2 linked regions of the Mytilus edulis genome follow. The protein of the gene in region 1 purifies or fractionates together with the protein of each later gene. This does not show direct contact. Links are inferred from orthologs where the notes say so. Each region holds a gene or a part of one and is shown in the gene's direction. Other genes may lie near its edges. The genes, in order: ubiquilin-1-like and 26S proteasome non-ATPase regulatory subunit 4-like.

What was found.
Region 2: the proteins of ubiquilin-1-like (region 1) and 26S proteasome non-ATPase regulatory subunit 4-like purify together in Drosophila melanogaster (affinity purification with western blotting; 3 studies listed by BioGRID, with this or other methods). This does not show direct contact. The link is inferred for Mytilus edulis from reciprocal best matches to the Drosophila melanogaster genes Ubqn and Rpn10.

The regions. Positions count from the first base shown.
Region 1 is NC_092347.1:34,492,184-34,503,231, forward strand, and holds the start of ubiquilin-1-like, read left to right. Parts: upstream 1-6,036; 5' UTR 6,037-6,099; coding exon 6,100-6,207; intron 6,208-10,113; coding exon 10,114-10,266; intron 10,267-10,676; coding exon 10,677-10,760; intron 10,761-11,048. Other genes in the region: uncharacterized protein, read left to right, coding at 1-972.
Region 2 is NC_092347.1:13,363,917-13,374,834, reverse strand, and holds the start of 26S proteasome non-ATPase regulatory subunit 4-like, read left to right. Parts: upstream 1-5,453; 5' UTR 5,454-5,486; coding exon 5,487-5,563; intron 5,564-8,443; coding exon 8,444-8,584; intron 8,585-10,918. Other genes in the region: uncharacterized protein, read right to left, coding at 1,902-2,159, 5,074-5,188. UniProt on the Drosophila melanogaster protein: Binds and presumably selects ubiquitin-conjugates for destruction.

The DNA.
Region 1 (11,048 bases):
AACAAGGTTTTTATATGCCTATTCACTTGTGCTTCAACGAGAGCCGTACACCTGGAAGTTGTACCGGACTTATCAGAAAAATCATTTTTACAAGCCTTTAGAAGATTCGCTGGTCGTAAATCTAGACCACACACCATTATATCGGATAACGCCTCGACGTATTTAGCCGCCTCGGAAACATTAAAGAAATTAACCCAATCACCATCGCTAAACGATACGTTGTCAACATATGGAACAACTTGGAGATTCATACCGAAAAGAGCGCCCTGGTATGGTGGATGGTGGGAACGCTTAATAGGAATTACAAAAACTTGTTTGAAGAAAACATTAGGCAGATCTTACGTTACCATGGATACACTTCAAACAATTCTGACAGAAATAGAAGCGATCATTAATGATAGACCATTGACCTACGTATCACCGGATATTGAGGACGAGGAGCCGTTAACTCCGTCACACTTGCTGTACGGAAGAAGAATAACTTTAACGCCGTGTCCACAACCGAATATTGAATACATTGCCGTGAATAGTGGAAAACAAGAACTGCATAAACATTTGAATAAACAGTCGAGTTTAATGGAGAATTTTTGGAACCGGTGGAAATCCGAGTACATAACGACTCTTAGAGAGTTTCATCGCCAAACAGGAAACAACTTACAAACTATACAAGTTGGAGATGTAGTGCAAGTCCAAGATGATAAATTACCGAAAAACCGATGGAACATTGCCGTTGTTGATGAATTGATCACCGGAAACGATGGTTTTACACGAGCAGCTATAATACGAACTAGTGCAGGACGTACTTCGCGTCCTATAGTAAAACTGTACCCGCTCGAAATCCGGACAAACATTAACAACTTAGATGACAACAATGATGATTCTTCAACAGAGAGATTGACAAGAGTTCTACCAAAACGAGAGGCATCTGTCCGAGCTCGAGAGAACATCAAGAAATGGACTACCCAAAAGTGATAGACTTCGTTAAAAGTGAAAGACTTCGTTAAAAGTGAATTTAATAAGTGAATTATTTGAATTTGTTTTAGAAAGACATTTTAATTATTTAATTTTCAGAAATATCTATTCGATTGACATTTAAAGAATTAATAATTTCATATTTTAACTTTTGCCGGCCCCGAGAATGTCGGGAATTTAGCGCGAATATATACATGTTAACGTTGCTACTTGACTTATGTATTTATGACGTTACTTATAGCAATGGCTAGACGTTAAAATAAACACGATCTATACACAACGCATTTTATCTACTTTACACAACACCTTCGACGTAACGATACAGATACAGAATATTCTCTTTCACAGGTGCGAATGTGACACCTGCTTACTGTCTTAGTGTCCAAGGGGCAATCAACTGACAAACTTCTTTTTATGATTGTTCTTAAATATAAGCTTATTGATTACTGAAATGCCCCTTTTTTTAAATGTCACAAAAATTATAAATATCTATTTTGGTCTTTTTTAGCGGGATAAGGGACGTAACTCTCACTAATAACCGAAAATGCAGCAATTTGCAAACAAGTCATAAGAAAATATATAAACTTGATCACAATATTGTCCGGTTCATTTAAATGACTTCTCTGCAGATACCTATTGAAACAATAACACATTTTAGTAGCAATACATCGATTGCAATTTCGTATTTCTCTCGAAATCATAGTCAGCCAAAAGCTTTATCTGGCTTGTGTGCGTTCTAAAAATTACCTATAGTAACAAAATATATATAAGGTGTGGTATGATTTCCGATGAGACAATTATCCACCGAGATTAAGGGTGTTAAAACAATGTGCCACGGTGCAATATGTAAAATATTCTAAAAAGAAAAATTAACAGCATTAATTATTCTAAATATAAAAAATTATCTGGTAGAAGCAGAAAAAACATGGTTATCCATTACGTAATTTCATTCTAACGTAACAGCTGACGATTGACCAATCATTTTTTTAAATTAGATACAGAAAGGGAGGATAAATCCCGGGTTGTTTCATATACATGTATAATAATACAAACTAAAAAAAATGTTTTTGTTGAATCACTAGATTGAAGCAATTATATAGGCCACCATACAGTTTAATGGCCATACCACATAATTATCTATAAAAGGCCACGACATAATCAAAAATGTAACTTTGAGTTGGTACCGCTGTTTTAATTGTAATACTTCTATCAGATGATCACATAGGCGGATCCAGGGGGGGGGGGGGGGGGGGGGGCTTTCGTGGGAAAAATTTGGTTGATTATATAGGGTATCACTGAAGCATGACTGGAGAGGCCCCCCCCCTTAGGTCAGTCAGCGCCCCCCCCCCCCCCCCCCCCCTTCCCCTTTAGGAAAAGTTCTGGATCCGCCACTGAGATCGATACCTATGCTGGTGGTTCTTTGTCTCATAATCAGTTAGTCGATAACTCCCTTCATGTTGCTCATCAAATATAATTGTGGTATGTCTAATTCGATAGTCTGTCATCTCAATTCTGTAAAACAGATAATCATATTTAATAAATTTTTCGTTTTTGATGATAATTCAAACTTCAACATTTGGGATAATATAAACGGTACAAATTTTACTGCACCAGATCTCTTGTATTCTTTGTAAGCAGCAATCTCCTTTCAATGAAAGGAAATCAAGCTGATATATTACTATAACCAGAGACATATAATAATATAAATGTATTATATGTCTCTGCTATAACTATGTGTATTTATTTGGGAAACAAAACAATATTTTTACGGCCAGTTGTGATGCAATAGAAGTTCCAAATCGAAGAAATATAACAGAATAAAGAGCTAGTATAGATACTTATTCCAATAAAAACTTACATTATAACATTGTTTATAAAAAAAAAATCCAGAGGAACTTCTGTTAGGAAACAAGACGTTTCGGCCATAGAGCCAATTTGTCCTTATGGTTGTAATGACCATACTGTGAAGAAATTGTGTTGTATATACTAATTACTTTCATTATTGCGCCTGTCCCAAATCAGGAGCCTCTGGCCTTTGTTAGTCTTGTAGGATTTTTAACTTTAGTTTCTTGTGTATAATTCGGAGTTTAGTATGACGTTCATTATCACAGAACTAGTATACATTTTTGTGGTGTCTTCCCATTTATCCAACTTTTTAAAATAAGGTATTCTCATTTAGCCAACTTTTTATTTTTGTTAATTATTGGGTTGTTTGTTTAGTAATAATAAGGTGTCTTTTTAAAATTTGACAGTAAATTTGTTCCTGTATGTTTTTTATATTATTTAAAAAATATATATAAAACAGGCGATAGTAAACTTTTTTTAAATAAAATTTAGTACATTTTAGATAATAAATAAATGTTTCATCATTTATACAGAAGAAACCCACAAATCAGTAATATTTTTATATTAACATTTTATCACTTTTTAAATTGTAAGTGCAAGTTATAACATTACAATAAATGTGACACCTGTTAACTTATAATACTGGTGATGATTCAAGGTGATTACCAAATTAAACATTGTTCGTGTTCAGCATATTTGGTGTTAAAAATTAAAACTATGTTACAGTACTCAGCAATTTTTCCAAAACATGTGAATGAATGAATGAATGAACTCTATTCTTATAAGATTACATTTCATAGTTAAGCTCATGTTGTAGTATATATATAGCCATTCAATTCGAAATTTCATCAACGTATATCACTACACTGATGCAGTATCCCACCTACTGAAACTAGGATGAAGATCTAATGAACATTCCTTTAGTGTGTGCTATGGATATTTCTGTGCTACGTTTTTTAACCATTGTGCTTGCATTACTATTTTTTTTAAATGTATGATGAGTGTATCTTCTGAACATTTCTTTAGTACCATTGTATGTTGTGTGAATCTACTGAACATTTATTTAGTCACAGTGTGCTATTGATATTTCTGTGCCAGTATTTTATAACCATTGTGCTTGAATTGCTTTTGCTTTTGTTTATATATGTATATATGTTGTGTGAACTTTGATATGACATGTTCAGTCTTTGTGTAGTTAAACGTATTCAACTTATATTTTGTCCCATTTGGATCATTTGGTCAGAAGAACAGAAAAAAATGAACGAAGGGGATCTATTACACAAAAAAAAAGCTCCATCTAATTGACAAATCTCTTCATGAATAAAAGTGCACTTGATATTTTTCTATCCAATTCACATTTTGATTAACGGTTAAAAAAACTTAAAAATACTTTCAAATGATTTACATGACATTAACTAAATGTCATTGCACATTTTAACATACTATGCTTAATAATACTACCTAAAATTTAATCCGGCTATAATTTTCAGTCTTAGTTTTAACCTGTCATTTAACCAAAACTCTAATTGAAAAAACCTTTGTTCTTGATTACCTTTGATCTCATCTATCCAACTTTTTTTTTTACCTGTACCACCTATAAATTTAAAAAGTTGGATAAATGAGAATGAACCATTTTTGTTTAGGGGCCAGCTGAAGCACGCCTCCGGGGGTTGGAGTATTTCGCAGCATTGAAGACCCATTGGTGGCCTTCGGCTGTTGTCTGCTCTTTGGTCGGGTTGTTGTCTCTTTGACATATTCACATCCAATTCTCAATTTTATAAATTTATCTTTTCATTAAGCAGTGACATATAATACAATGATAATGTGTTATATGTCTCTGCTTTAAGTAAGGATGTTTAAAAAAAAAACCAGTATTGTGTATACATCATTTTACTATGATATGTAGTACCAGTATTTGCTGTTGATTAGTTTACAAAAAATATCGTCTTGACAGGCGAAAAATGCAATGTGACATGCGATTTTGGTGGATTGCTTAAAAGAATGCAGAGATAGCTTTCTGAAAACATACTGCCGAAATAAAATTTGTAAATAGGTTAATTTCTATTCGACCTTTTTAGAGGTTGAATGTTAGGGGTCATCCATAATTGTTAACCATTTTCCAGAGTGTACAAAACGTACACTTGGGGAGGGGTTTAAAAATCAACATTATTACCGTACGTTTTTTTTTTTAAATAAAAATAAAACAGTCAGATATGGTTCAGTTTATTTTCAATGCAAATGTTTACATTAACTAAACTATAATAGGCAGGATCTTCTTTTTATTTAAAAATGATTGATTTTTGTCTTGAAATCTGAAAATGGTTGATGTACACTTTTTGAGGGAGGGTGGGGGGTCTGAAAAAGTGTATGTTTTGTGCACTTTGGTAAATGGTTGACAATTATGGATAACCCCATTTAAAGACAGATTAAGAATTCATTTATCTTTTAAACGTATTTTTGTGTTTTTCTTGAACTATATAAAGCATCTTTGTAAACAAACGTTATTTTAAAAAATCCATTATAATCAAATAATTGTCAAAAATTCAATGAGTCAAAGTGGTAAGGGTGCATAAACGGCTAAATGGTACCAAGAAACATATCATTTGCGTTAGTAAAATTTGATAAATCTTCATTAATCAAGTTTTATTAAAAATATACTTCAAATATTTCAAAAACTTCTCCAAATAAATTACGACCCTGAATTCTTCAGAAAATTATATAAGCACACAAAATTGACAATCTTGTTTTGGACTGATCAAATCAAATTACAAGTTGCCGCGGATTGGTTTATTATCTTAGACACGCGCCTCGGTCAATCACTTCTGACACTTAGTTTATCACCTAGCTAATCCAATTATCTAATTAGATATACAATCGTCCGTATCTGTAGTGGAATTGATTATCTATTTGCTCCAACTTTATTATTATAATATTTTGAAGCAAAACAATACACTAATTTCTTTTTTCAAATCAATCGTTTCTCGATCATTAAGCATTTAATAGATGTTTTGTACTTTACTCGAATCTTGTGCTATCCTTTATTTTCTTTTTTCTCAACATTAATAAAACCAAGGATTTGTATAGTTACTATACAAATCCTTGATGAAACATTGAGAAATAATGTATGAACCAATACGACCATGGCCGAACTGGTGTATGGCCGAAACGTCTCGAAAGCCCCTAATACAAAGACACCATAGCTGTTTTATAGAACACACCAACTTTAGTATGCATCAAACGCGTCATTGAATCAGAATAGTGACAGGTCAAAATACAGACATTATGGCGGACGAACGAATGGATGAGTCTCGTAAAACCATGAAAATCACGGTTAAAACACCAAAAGAAAAGCAGGAAATGGAAATAGATACTAATGCTCATGTTAAGGAGGTAAATCTATCGCTAGGAAGTTATAGAATATCCCTGAAACCTCTCTACAATCCATACATAAGATTACTTCTCTCACTGCATATGTCAATAATTCGTTATCTAGAATGTTCTATTAACAGATTAAATCTACTCAATTGCTTACATCAGCTTATCACTTTTACTAGACATTTGCATTGCTCAGCTCCCTATATATTAATCATACTTGGGAGAGACTTCTAAAACGAATCACACCCTAAACCCAGGGTTGGAAGCTGAAGCAGTGAGGGGTCAATATACAAACTGTACAACCCTTTTAATTTTGTATAAATAAAATCATTACCTACTTACATACCTGTCAACTCACCCGTTTTTTGCGGGTGACACCCGTTATTTTCACCTCTCACCCGGGAGTTTTTCTTTACCCGGCGGGTCCCGGGAATTTCTAACATTACCCGTTTCACCCGGATTTCTGACCGGAATTGTTTCCGGTATTTAGAAGTAATGCGACCTTCGGTTTTATCGGTCTTTTTCAATGTAACCAAAAGTCAAAATGTAGGAATGTTTACCTGAGCTGTGAAATAGCTTCAGGTTATTCCTGTGGAAAAACTAAAACCACCCAAATAGTAAAGAGGGCCCTTTCAGTTGAAAATAACAAAGTGGTAGTTGAAAACAAGCCAAGATTTTTTGTTTTGTCAAAACTTGCTAAAACATTACTGGTTTTGCCAAACAGCAATGCAGACAGTGAGAGGGCATTTTCTTTAGTAAAGAAAATAGCTACAGAGTGTAGGGCTGATCTTAATAAGGATACACTGTGTGCTCTTCTTTCTTGTAAAATGAATACACATTTGCATTGCTATGAACTGAAACCAAGTGCAGTTCTTTTAAAGAATGCCAAGTCTGCTACTATGGAATATAACAATAGTATGAAATAAACTTGTATACATGTTCTAACTGTTTCATATACATATTGACTATATAAATTATATGTAAACATATTTTTGTTCTTCAATTGAGCCCGCAAAATGTCGTACGCGTTATGACCTGAGATTTTTTTTCTCAATGCAGGTCATGACCTGACTTTTCATTTTCAGAGGTTGACAGGTATGTACTTATCTTAATAGGTCATTTCTGGAATCATGTCTTTCACCGGAAAATAACGTCAATTTTGCACGCTTTTATGACATCATTTACCAGATAAAAGGCGCGCCTGTATCCCTGCTCTACAATGTATTTAAAGTTTCCAGCACTTTCATAATCGTTATTCTGTAGGGTAGTATAGAAATAATTAATGTTCCGTAAGTACATAATCGTGATTGCCGTATGACTGAGGGAGGGTGACCTGACCATCCATTTAGATTTTAATTTCCCTAATATTTTGTGCAGTATAAAAGAAAATATTTTCACCTGTTTGCTCAACATATGTTGGAAATTTCTATGCATACATTTTTGTCACGTGGTGATGGAAGTCACATGACAGATTCGTCAAAATCTTCAAATGTTTCAGAGTTATTATGCACTAAACCAAGAGTTGTAATTAAATTAAAAGTATGTTGAGGTCACATGTATTGCTTTGAGACTTTACGGTCATTAATCATTTCGTCCACATGTTGTTTCAGTTACAAATGTATATACCAGTGAGGCCTTGGTTGTTAGTGTTTGTTAGTGTCCCATTTGTGGTTGTGTCACCTTTACAACAGCATACATTTTGTACAGTTGGCGAGTACTACCATGTAGTCATTTTGGTCTCTTGTAGGGAGTTGTCTTGTTGGCAATCATACAACATCTTAATTTTATATATCTAAACTACATGATTTTGACCACTTGTCCCAATAGGCCAGTTCCGGGAAACTGTTTTCAGATGAATCTGTCATGTGACTTCCATCACCACGTGACAAAAATGTATGCATAGAAATTTCCAACACATGTTGAGCAAACGGGTGAAAAAGTTTTATTTTATACTGCACATAATATTTGGGAAATTTAAATCTAAAAGGATGGTCACCCTCCCTCAGTCATACGGCAATCTCGATTATGATTTTACCAGTCAGGGGACTTACTTAAATGAGTGATTTTCTAAATCACTGATTCAAGTAACATTATTTCCATAAAGGTTGAAAGAAAGAGTTGTCTTTCTTTAATAATCACCTATTTAAGTAGTACAAAATAATCACTAGAAGAAGTGATTTAATTTTACTGTAGCTTTAAATATAGAACACTAATGATCCAGGGACTAATTATGTTTCTAAACTTATCAGAACCAACATCTGTGTTGTCTAGGATGACCAGGTCATTTCAGGTGATGACCTTGTACTGAATCTAGGATAATGACATAAAAATCACTTGTTTAAGTATCATACTTCAATTTCCTTCCCAAAAATCACTTCTTTAAGTATCATATTTTAATAACCCCCACTAATTTCAACACCCCCGAACAGTGAAATTTTTATCGCGAACAGTAGAATTTTATTATATAATCTGAAAGATAAAACCTTGAACTTTACAGGAAAAATACTCCCACTGCTGGGAAAAATCTGTGAAGAAAGTATCAGTTCATTATGTACATGTAAAGCCATTATTATAGCATTTTTTCAACTAAAATAGAATTTGCAGCTAAATGATAGCATCAAAGGCATAAACCTTGATACTTAAAAGAATCAAACAATTCATTTTTTTCAATTTTACTAATGAAAAGATATTTTTTAAACCTATGTGTTTAAAATTTTGGTAAAACTACAAAATCACAATTTGTGACAAAACTTCGAATTTGCTACTCAAATAAGTGATTTAAAAATCACTTATTTCAGTAAGTCCCCTAACTGTTTACGGAACATTAATTATTTCTATACTACCCTACAGAATGACGATTATGAAAGTGCTGGAAACTTTTAATAGAGCAGGGATACAGGCGCGCCTTCTTTCTGGTAAATGACATCATAAAGGCGTGCGAAATTGACAATCTTTTCTAGTGAAAGACATGATTCCAGAAATGACCTATTGCAATACTTTGATCGTATTAACTTTTTTAAATACATGCAAAGTTAGTTGGTTCCTGATTTTGAATTTTTCCAAAGGGAGACATAGGTGATCAGCAATAATTAGATAATCAAATGTGGTATTTCATGATGGAGTTTTCATCTCCTGTCAGATTAATCATGTTAATGGGGAGTTTTAAACAAACAATGAATCAAACTTGTTTGGTACATGTATCATTTTAAGTTTAAAAATTTATTCCTCTGTATACATGGTATATACATACATGCATGTATGTCAGAATTAAGAAAATCTTGATCATGGGATACATATGATCATTTTACAAAGGTTCTTACACTAACTTAAAATAAAAGTCAGCTGATTGACAATTAGGGATATCAAATGCCTATTGCAAAATTAGCACTAGAGACCCCAAAGTTAACCAAGCTGACCTGAATGAAGTTTGAAAGCATACCAGCATTTAAGAAGCCCTCAAGAGCTCTACTACGTTTAACTTTGTTTTACCAGATGATTAGCAGCTCCTTCAGTCAAGCAATCATTTAAAGAAATATAAAGTACATGACATTTTCATTGCTTTTAAGTTAAATCAGACAATTACAAAATGTAAGATATGAATACAATTCAATGAAGTGTGCAGTTTGAATTGCAGTGTGACCACAAACACATTAAATAGTAGCTTACAGGGACATTACACTTATTGCAACATATCCTTACAGTTTTGTCATTCTTGTTATTTAATAATCAAGTTGATTAAAGTTTTGTCTTCAATTTTTCCTGATTGAAAGGTATGGTACTTCTATATAAAAAATAAACTGTTAAACAAAATTTATGTGACTACTTTATTGGCAAATGGCAAGTATTATTTAGACTAGTCTCTAAGTGTAGAGCTACTTTACTTGCACCTGGTAACATATCTTTTATTTCTGTTTTTCACAGTTGAGAGAAATGGTGTCACAGAAATTCAATGCTCCAGTTGAACAGCTTTGTTTAATATTTGCTGGAAAAATACTGAAAGATGAAGACACTCTAGAACAGCATCAAATAAAAGATGGTTTGACAGTTCATCTTGTGATCAAATCATCAAACAGGGTAAGCATGTGTAGTTACCCGCCTGTCACATGACAGTTCATCTTGTGATCAAATCATCAAACAGGGTAAGCATGTGTAGTTACCCACCAATCACATGACAGTTCATCTTGTGATCAAATCATCAAACAGGGTAAGCATGTGTAGTTACCCGCCTGTCACATGACAGTTCATCTAATTCATCTACTTCAAGTTAATTTGAAAATCGTGAAATTAAATTGCAGCAAAAAAGGGATAGGAAGGACTTAACACAAAATAAAGTATCTGTGAAAATAAGTTGTTTTTCAGTAAATTAAACTCTGTAATCAACAAAAACCTATTTCCTTATATATTTGTCATAATGAAATATATTTATAGATTTAACATGTATATATTTGGATAATTTGAAAGTTGAAATGGATTTATTTTTGTAGTCGCAAGAACAAGCTGCACAGAGAGCTGCCCCTATTCCCAGTCCATCACCTGGAGGAGGATCAATACCTACTTCTACACCTGGGGTAAGTTTTGGGGAATGTTTAGTCACGCTAGACAACAAATAAAAGGGTAAAAAACACTAAGCATATATAAAAATGAAATGAACAATGAACCCAAGACACAATCTACAGAACATTTATTATGAAAAAAAACTTAAGACTTAAAACTACTTACCAGTCGAATATTAAAATGTTTCTTTACAAATCTCAATTATTTACATACATGTATATGAAGGAAAAAAAGATATTCTAAAAATAAAAATGAAAAAAGTTTTATTATTTGATTTTTTTAGCTGATGTTTTATTACTGTG
Region 2 (10,918 bases), about 21 Mb from region 1:
GCCCCATGTCAAGTGCTTGTAGTTCAGTAGTTGTCGTTCGTTCATATCTGTCATTTTTTTATTTATATTTTTCTTGTCGGGACCTTTTGTAACAAACTATAAGTTATGGATTTTTCTCTTCATTGAAGGCAATACAGTTGCCCTATATTAGTAATTGTTTATAATCACTTCCGTTGAACTTTGTTGGATAATAGTTACATCTCATTGGCAATCATAACACATCTCATTGGCAATCATAACACATCTCATTGGCAATCATAACACATCTCATTGGCAATCATACCACATCTCTTTATTTTCGATGTTATCATTTGTTTGGATTCTATACCTTCAAAAATAAATACTTAAAATCTGATTTTATATATTGATACTTGCAGTGTATATTTATGTGTATTTAGCAAGAGGAATGAAATATACCAGAGGGACAGTCAAACTCATGGATCGAAAATATACTGACAACGACATGGCTAAATATAAAAAGACAAACAGACAAATTACACACTTGACAACATAGAAAGCTAAAGACTAAGCAACACGAACCCCTTCAAAAACTGGAGGTGATCGCAGGTGCTCCGAAAGGGTAAGCAGATTCTGCTCCACATGTGGCACCCGTCCGGTCGTGTTGCTCATGTTATTACAACCCCGGTAAATTATAGTATAAACGGTAAGTCACATTTGTAGTGAACAGGGAAGTGAATTGTAGTTACGACATAAGGAACATATCCGATATCATCTGTGAAACGATTATTCCAAAACGATCAACTGTTTTTTCAAAGTTTTTGCTTTAACAAATTAAAAAGTTGTCCTTTAGATCATGGATATATGCTTTTATAAAGCCCTGCTTTGTACAAGATCGACACTTTGATTCGGATTTTAACATACTAGCTCACAAGATAACAGCAAGTACCTTACTCTTAGTATGATTAAAGACACTAAACGGGCGCGATAGTGTCAGCTCATATCCGTCTGACTTTTATTCAAGTAATATAAAGATGTGTAGTTAGGTACTGTTAAGGTTTTTGCATTCATCATTATTTTGCATTCATCATTAAACATGAAAAGTTATCATTCAATTTAGACAAAATATGCACTAAATACTCCAGAAATGAGGGGTTTTAGTATTATGTATAGTATAACTGGAAGCAAACCAATTGTAAATCTTGTAAATGGCCTTTTTAGAACCTAAAATTATTGAAAGGCACACTTACTAAGTGCTAAACCTATATTTTCGATCTAAAACATGCTATGTTTTTAATTCTTGTGAGGAGTCATTGGCGGATCCAGAACTTTTCCTAAGGGGGGGGGGGGGGGCGCTGACTGACCTAAGAGGGGGCCCGCTCCAGTCATGCTTCAATGATTCCCTATGTAATCAACCAAATTTTTCCCACGAAAAGGGGGGGGCCGGGCCCCCCAGGGCCCCCTGGATCCGCCTATGGGAGTGGGGTTTATTGCATTTGGATTCCTATACATGATTTAGAGTTATCTTATACTTAATATAATATTAAACATAAGAGCACATGGAAATATATATGATGAAAAAGTTAAACCGTCCTGTTCTTCTCCTACATCTGTTTTAGCAGGCGTTCCCCAAGGGTCGGTCCTATGTTCTTATAATTTGTATAAACGATTCTGTCGAGAAGAACGTACTAGACTCTTTGCAGATGACACATCTCTCAGTATTCGAGTAATGATAGGTGGCAAACACAAACTGTAAATGATCATGATCTAAATTGTATTGATTAAAATTATATAGTAGGAGAAGATGGTCTAAGTTGGACTCACTTGTGTCTAATCCTTTTGGAGATATTTTGCAAATAAGATATGTTTAATCTTAAACATGATGATTCTGAAAATAAGAGTATTTGATATAAATTTAACAACTTCTCAGTTTATGAACATACCTGAAATAATTACGAGGTCTTTGTCCGTTGCAGTAAGATGGCATATCTTTATCTGTCCATTGTGCTGCTGTTTGTCATAAAATTGTATCATAAAATATTTTAATTTGTCTGTTATCATATAACATTGATCAGAATTGTTTAAACATACTAGATTTTCACCAACAAATGTAATGTTTTTAATGGAACATCCAGAAATTTTGTAAAGAATTTGGTCCAATATCGCATGTTGATAGCCCAATACTTTTTGTTTTCCGTCATCTGAAAGAAAATCCTTTATTCAAATGTGCAATATATAAATGAATGATTAAGAAAATAAGATTAATTGAAAAAAAAATTTAAACAACACATAATCAAAAGAAAGATAGAGTACATTTTTTCCTGAGAAAACAATTGTCAACCGAGGGGAAGCCAATGTTGATCATCCCTTTTTTCGAGGGGGTTACAATCTACTCTTTCATCTTTTCATCTAAATGTTATTTAATTTATTTTACTGGATGATCTGTCATATTTATCTTTTAAATCTTCAATTGAAAGTTATTAACTATAACCTCATGTGTAATACAACGCCACAGTCATAAGAAAATTGTTACATAAGGGTATATAAGTATTTTTCGGAGACTGGGCATGAGCAACGAAAAGATAAGCCGTCCTGCTTCACTAGTAGCAGTTAGATATAGGACCAAGAGTGCATAGTAAAGATATCAGTTAACTTTAACTACGTATTGCTACATATATATTTTTTTCTACATTGGCTAGAGGTATAGGGGGTTGAGATCTCACAAAACATGTTTAACCCCGCCTCATTTTTGCGCCTGTCCCAAGTCAGGTAGCTCAGTCTGGTCTTAGTTAGTCTTGTATGATTTTTTAATTTTAGTTCGTTTATATATTTCGGAGTTAATTAGTATGACGTCCATTATCACTAAACTAGTACACATATTCGTTTATGGTCCAGCTGAAGCACGTCTCCGGATGCAGGATTGTCTTACTGTGTTGAAGACAAATTGATGGCCTTCGGTCGTTTTCTGCTCTTTGGTCTTTTAGTATTCCTTGCTCTAAATGATTCTCTAAAATGGTCTTCAAACATGTTATATCTTCAAAGGTGACATTTGTTTATTGGCAAAATTCTTTTCAAAATATTTTCAATAATCGGAGAACCACAAAAACAATGTGTAGACGTACGGGCAGCAAACAACGTCATATCAACATATCACAAAAAAAATAACTCTTTGACACATTTCCCATTTCCATTCTCAATTTTATAATATGATAAAATATTAATCGCATATGACGTCCATATGGCATTCTTTACATTTTCAAATAAGGCCTGTGACACCTGGCAAAAGATACGAGCTAGTCTGTGTTGGTATGCTAGTTAATAATTTATAAAAAAAATTGCGTTATTGCTCAAATGGCTGTTTATCGACTTTAGCAATAAAAAGCATATACTGCAAACACAAAACTGTATCACAAAAATAGTTCTTCAAACAGACAAATGCACTGACATATCGAGGATACGAACAATATCCACATGTCCGAAGTTTTTAAAATGATGCATGTGAATAAAGATGACCACATCGTGTTCAACACAATGTGTAGAAACTTATTCAACATTTAAAACATTATTAATTATCGTATTAGAATTTACGTAGGATATGCTTGGGGATATGAAAGACGGAAAACATATATCTAAGATAAAGCAATTGAAAACGTTTGTCACAACTTTGACAAGAATTTATTTCAGGAACTTGAAAACGCAAACTTGTCCCTGCAAGTTTACCGATGCAAGCCGTTTCAGTCACAGCCGATTCGGCCATTGTCATTTTGGTCATATACTGCCAGTTCCAAATCGGCAAAACTTTGTAAGGTCATTTCAGACAAGGCTTTCATTGTTATAAAGGGAGGGGGAAATTAGAAGCAGACGTTAAATAACAATTTGAAGTACCGACCTTGTCAACTGGAATTTCGTATCAAATTGTAATCAGTAATATCTTAACCATGTGTGGCACAGTGCCATAAGAAAGTCACAATTTATGCAAGGATCTTACTTTACAATTTATGTCAAAAAGATTATTTCGTTTTTGTTACAAATTTTCCTTTTCAAAACAAACTTCAGTCAAAATATTTAACAATTATCAATATGCATAAGAAGTTGTGATATGAGCGCTTAGTCGTACATATTATGATAACAATATGAAAAAGTCTAGCCGAATCGAGTATGGCCGAAATGACTGTAGCCAAAATGACTTTGGTTGAACTTACTCAGCGGCCGAAACGACTTATGGCCGAACTAGTTGCCCAGTCAAAACGTATCAAAAGCAATTGTAAGAGGGCCTGGTTGGATGGAGAACTACAGTCAAAAGTGCAGAATAAAGGGGGAAAAGAAAATTGGCAAAAAAAAAAAGAATAGATTTATAATAGATGCTAGAAAGTACGGTATATATAAAAATTGACAAAATAATTAAAGAATATAGAAATTGATTTAAAAATAAAGAATGCAGAAATCCAGACCCACAGTTATCCATTATATGCTTATCCTCTCACTGAGAAGATCAGGCATACATGAAAGCTACAATATGAAAACTAATCATGCTAATGAGACAAACAATGCACGATGCCTTAAATAACAAACTGAAGTATAACTATTAAGCTATACTAAGCATTAAACAATGACATTTTAGCAAATGTGTCATGATGGAGATTCTTTGTTGTTTCTATGGTGCTTTTGTACAGGTTAACATCTACAAAAAGCCACGGTGTGATAGTACAAGACAGAATACTGAGTGACAGGACACTGGACAGTTGTAATCTACCCTCAGCATGCATATCAAATTTGCAAAAACTGAGTATCTTAATATATGACCATAGATGCAAGACCCATGATATGACATACCTATATAAAAATTTATTAGCTTTCACTATTGCATGTTTGTAAATATTGTCAGGTTTGTCAGTCTTTGGTAACAATCCAATATTTGCTATACCACTCAGTCGGTTCTAAGTTCCTTTGTCTTTATTCTTTTACAGTTACACCTTGTTATCAACGGAAATGTTCCGGTCCAGTGTTTTTTTCTGAGCAAGTTAGTGTCATTCAACAGATAAAATATACTATTAAACTAACTGTAGTAATCTCCAAGAGATTGACCTAACTGTGTTCTTTTAATTAGATACTTGCCAAAATAAACTGCTGTGTTGCTCCATGATGAGTTGATTCTTATGACGTTCTTTTCGTTCAATATTTGTAATGATCTATCGTCCATAAATTCGTCATAGCCATAGAAGTTGACCATAATTCTTTTGTTGTTGTTGTTGAACCATGTGCTTGAAGACTGGGTTCCGTTTATGACGAGGTTGTGTGACGGAAACCAGTAAACAAATACAATACTATTTAATAATATAATTATATGCACTTTTGCTTCAATTTATTCATTTACTTGTGTATTTAATTGTTTTTAAATGTTGCTCTTTGTGAAAGATTATCAATGAAAAATTTTAAATCAATTTTCAATCTTTAAAAAGCAAGCACAGCGATATTTTTCTTTACGTCGTTGTGCTGTGCTGTTGAATGTCTATCATCCGGACATTAAGATGGAAAATAATTTCAACCAATCACAACGCATCATATCATTCATTTCCAAAATGGTTCTCGAAAGTACAATTGTCTGGTAAAAAAACTTTAAATCATATTTGTTTCCCTCACACTCAAGCTTAATTAATAAGATACATATTTCGGTAGAGGCCCGATGTAAACTTGCTTATCGTCTCATATTCACTATTCCTGATTTAGGGTATTTAATGTGTGAAAATTATTTATTCGTTATAACGACGATGATTTAGCGATTTTGGAAATCCACATCACCGGTTGGACTCGGTCATATCAATGTGACAATGATCATTTCACGTAAAATTATAAAGAAATCGGTTTTGTTTAACCCTGTTTGAATATAATGCTATAATGGAATTTTACTGTTCAAGGGAAATATTCGAAGACCAAGTGCAAAAATGCCACAAATTATGTCAATGTAATATGAGGCAGGCATTACCTGTGAAAGGGGACGAAGTCTGTACGATTTTTTTTTGTAACTTCAAATCTGTTAAAAAAAGAAACGGAAATACTGTAACATTTCCGATTTTGGTTCTGTTGTTAGGGATTTTACTTTTGACGTTATTTAAGAAATAACTAATGGGGGCTTGATCACTATATCGTGATTTTACCACGAGTTGGCCCTTTATGACAAATATTTTACCCTGAGCGATAGCAAGGGGTAAAATATCGGCATAAGGGGACCAAGGCTTCCAAAACGGTCAAATATTCTGGTCATTTGTATAATGTCCGTTAAAAGTCCAGCTGGGCAAAGCATGAAACGGTCATCTACTTTTTAGTTTTCAAGGCTTTTTCGGTCATTTTTACTTAATTCACGATCTTTTGACCCAAATTTATGCCTTTAACAGCCCCACATTTCCGATCTTAAAAGTGACATGATGATTAATTACTATCAAAACAACCCTTACTTCAATACTTTCTAATTTCAATCCAGGCTAATTAGTTGCTGGACAGCTGAAAACTACCTGCTCAGATGACAGGTAAACTATAATTTTCAGTACCAGACATCGGATAAATTAATCTGTCTATTCACAATTATTTCCGTACATTTCAGCAGTTTGTATCTAATTGATTTAGTCCAAAAGAATAAATTATAATAAATACATTTATAAACATGATTTGATGAAACATTTAAAAAGGTTTTAAATGAAAAATCGTCAGAACTTCGTTGCATGAATAAGAACATGTGTGCGCATGTGCACAGGTGGGAAATTTAATTATGCATCCTACATTTCTTCAAAAATGCTAAAATTATCATTGATACCTGTATCTAACGTTCATTTCAAGTATTTTGTTGGAGAAATAACGTGGAAAGAGCTTCTTCACTCAGTCGTGCTTTGTAAACGTACACTGATTTTACATATCCGTTTATGGTCCATGTTTTACCATTGTCAAGTCAACATCCGGTTTGGGAAAATGTGACTTTAAAAACTAAAGTAAATTTTTTGACAATGTCATTTTGCACAAATAAAGAGCCTAAGGCAGATATGAGCATGCTGATGTGCACACTTTGAATGATGCACTGCCAATTTTAACAGTTTACTTCAGAACATCAAATTCATATCAAAGTAAATTTTAATATCGTCATTGTCAATCTAATGTCAATCATAATTTGGGATGGCCATCTGATTAGCATAATTGCCTTTTGTGACTTAGTCTTAGAGATTAAAATCGGGATCAGATATAAAATGTCCGGCTGGCTCAAAAAAAATTTGGCAGCCCTGAAAGGAACAACCCGTGGTAAAATCTGGATATATTCAAACCCCCATGAATTATTTCGATTCTAATAGGACAAATACGGCAATAGACGTAATTACACTTGTATGCAAATTTGTCCGCCATTACATAAAATCACACAGGTTCCCGTAAACTTTGACGTCACAACTAAAAAGTGATTGTTGCCTGACGTCAAAAGGTTATTCCGAGGTGATAAAAGGTCATTCAGAGGCAAAATACAGCTAAATACCAAAAGTGTATATACATTTATTCTTTTGGATCGAAGCGCTCTAGGTGGAGGCAAATATTTGCCGTTCCCATATATAAATGCACTATTCAATTGGCGTAAAAGAACAGAGCTAACTGAATTATTGACATGCTTAAGCTAATCACAATAACGTATTTATATCGTTTTGAATGAATTTAAATGATAGTTTACTTATATATGTCTAATATGTTTTTAAAAAATGGCTTAAACCAGCTTTTAGCATCGTTTGTTTACGTTTCCTTGTTGTGATAATTTTCGGTTTCACAAGCGTGTCATCCCGTAAAATGCTTATATTCTTACGTCATCGTTCTATGACGTCGGGCACCTCATTCATAAAAAAGTATATGACGTTGGAGTACGATTGGAACAGCCCTGGCAATATATTCAGATTTTACCACGGGTGTGTACTCAAACGTTTGAAGGACGTCATGTTAAAATATTAAAAACGGTAAAATTTAATGGAGCCGAATTTCCGGAACGTTCCATTTACATTATCTGGAAATTCTGGTCTGTCAAATTTTACAGATTTTAAATTTTATATCCATCGGAATTGACGTTTCTTTGGTAATTATGGGAAAACATTTTGAGACATAATAAATATTTGCCCACCTCAAATGGAATCGTACCTTATTTTATCTTTTCTTTTGGATATTTCAGGAAATATTTTACATCAATAAGCACAAAAAAGGTAGGACTTTGTAACTATGTAAAAATTTCTAACCGGCAATGAAAATTTCATGTCAAAACTAGGTGTCAAAGTTCCCACCAAAATCTGCTCTCAAACTCCAGACGTAAAAAATGGCTTCAGCGTTATGACCTTATAGGAAGGCGTCCCAGAAAAAAAATGAAATAGCCTTGCCAGACGTCATAATTATTTGGACTAGTCCTAACCTAGTGACAGTAGTGACTAGTGTTTTTGATACACTTGCAATTTATTTACTTTTATATGTGTTTCAGTGTTGACAACAGTGATTATATGAGAAATGGTGACTTTGTTCCTACTAGACTGCAAGCCCAACAAGATGCTGTCAATCTTGTTTGTCACTCCAAAACTAGATCTAATCCAGAAAACAATGTTGGACTATTAGTTATGTCTCAGTAAGTTGAAGAGAAATAATGTTGAAAAGTAGAAGTATGAACGTAAAATACGTGTATACATAGTATATGCAAATTCAAATACTTTAGAAATTAATGTTGTTTTTGTTTTTTTAGATTATCATGTTTATAGAATGAAAGTAAGTGACTATCAGAATGCATATCAAGCACAAAAGCACTTCTTGCTATGTTATATTCTGTTATGATATAAAAAAAAAAAGTATTTATAGAAAAGAAGATGTTGTATGATTGCCAATGACATGAATGAGATAAGTCTTCATAAGAGACCAAGTGACACAGAAATTAAAATGTACAACTATAGGTCCTGTACTAACTTCAACAATGAGAAAAATCCATATGGCAAAGTCAGCTATAAAAGGTCCCTAAATGACAATGTAAAACAAGTCAAACTAGAAAACTAACAGCATACATGTCAGTGCTCTAGCTAGAAATCAAAAGGGGCAGGGTGCCAGTGGAGGGCAGGGCACTTTTTATGATAAGAAAAGGCACTGCTCATTTTTTTGTCTACGTTTCTGTGTGTATCACGAGTTAACGAATCTCTTCTTTTTTTTTTACTGTATACATGTATGTTGGTTTTTTTAAATAAAGATGCTTTTCAACTATAGTCTTTATTTCATTGTTTGTGTAGTTATGATTGATATAGTACATCTTCATCAACATATTATGTTTTTACAGTTCAACTTCACTCTACCCATTATCAAAGAATATGTGTTTTTTGTTTTGTTTTTTTCATCTATATAGGAATTATAGTTTGAATACATCATATGATTTGGAACAGAGAGCATTACTAATTTAGCAATGTTTAGAACATGGATTGCTAAAAGTATAATTATCAAGTAGAAATTGCAATATATATTTTTTAATATGTTCAAAGACAGTTAATATCTTTAAGGTAACATTATTATGTTATTATATATTCAATTGGTAATTTATTCCTTTTTTTGGTACTAGATAATATTTTTAGAGCACAAATTTGTAATAAGCTAAAACAGGGGAAGTAACTCCAAAATCAATTTCCACCACGTTTGGGTTAATTAAAAACTGTGCTTGTCGCTAACAAGTTGACATGGAAGGCATTTCTGTAAAGGCATAGTTTTATTTTGATGACTTAAATTCAATTCTAAAGTCATGAAAGTCTTCATTTATATACGCTCTTCCATTAATTGTGACTTGGAGATCGAAAATGCCGACCCAAGCTAAACACACTCACTCGCTGACACATTCATCAAAAGTATGACAAAAAGATACATTGTCCTAATTAAATTACCTAGTTATTAACACCTTTGAAGTCTTTATCATTGTAATTGATTGTAATGACATGATTAACCTGGGGGCAATCACACAGGTGTCATATATGTAATTAACTTGGAGATCAGAAATCGATGAAACAAAATTTTACCAAAACGGCACAAGATGATTTTGGAAAAAGACGTCAGGGCAGAAGGGCGCGGATGAAGGCACCCAGGGCGCAGCTGAGGGCACACAGGGCGCGGCGCCCTTCTATTTTGGGCTAGCGAGACCACTGCATGTAATTGGTGTACTAAATAATGAAGGAAAAACAATTAAATATGTAACACAGCAACAAATTATAACCACTGAATAACAGGATCCTGACTTGGGACAGGCACATACAGAATGTGATGCCTGATGGGGTTAATATAAAAAAGAAGTGGTATGATTGCCAATGAGACAACTATCCACAAAAGACCAAAATGACACAGACATTAACAACTATAGGTCACCGTACGGCCTTCAACAATGAGCAAAGCCCATACCGCATAGTCAACTATACAATGTAATACCCCCCGATAAGACAATGTAAAACAATTCAAACGAGAAAACTAACGGCCTTATTTATGTAAAAAAATGAACGAAAAACAAATATGTAACACATAAACAAACGACAACCACTGAATTACATGCTCCTGACTTGGGACAGGCACATACATAAATAATGTGGCAGGGTTAAACATGTTAGCGGGATCCCAACCCTCCCCCTAACCTGGGACAGTGGTATAACAGTACAACATAAGAACGAACTATAAAAATCAGTTGAAAAAGGCTTAACTCATCAGATGGACAAAAATACAAGTAGACGTGGCCGGGTACTTATACATCCCGACACAAAAAGACGTAATGAACAGATCTGAGAGTACTCATAGTTATCTGACAGCTAGTTCAAAGCCACTAACAACTAATAAAAAAATCATGCATCTAAGACTAAACAATCAATCCGTACACATCCAGCATCCAATGGATTTAGTGTAAACACGTCATAAACAGCCAGAGAAAAACATGACCTTGTGCAATGCCAAG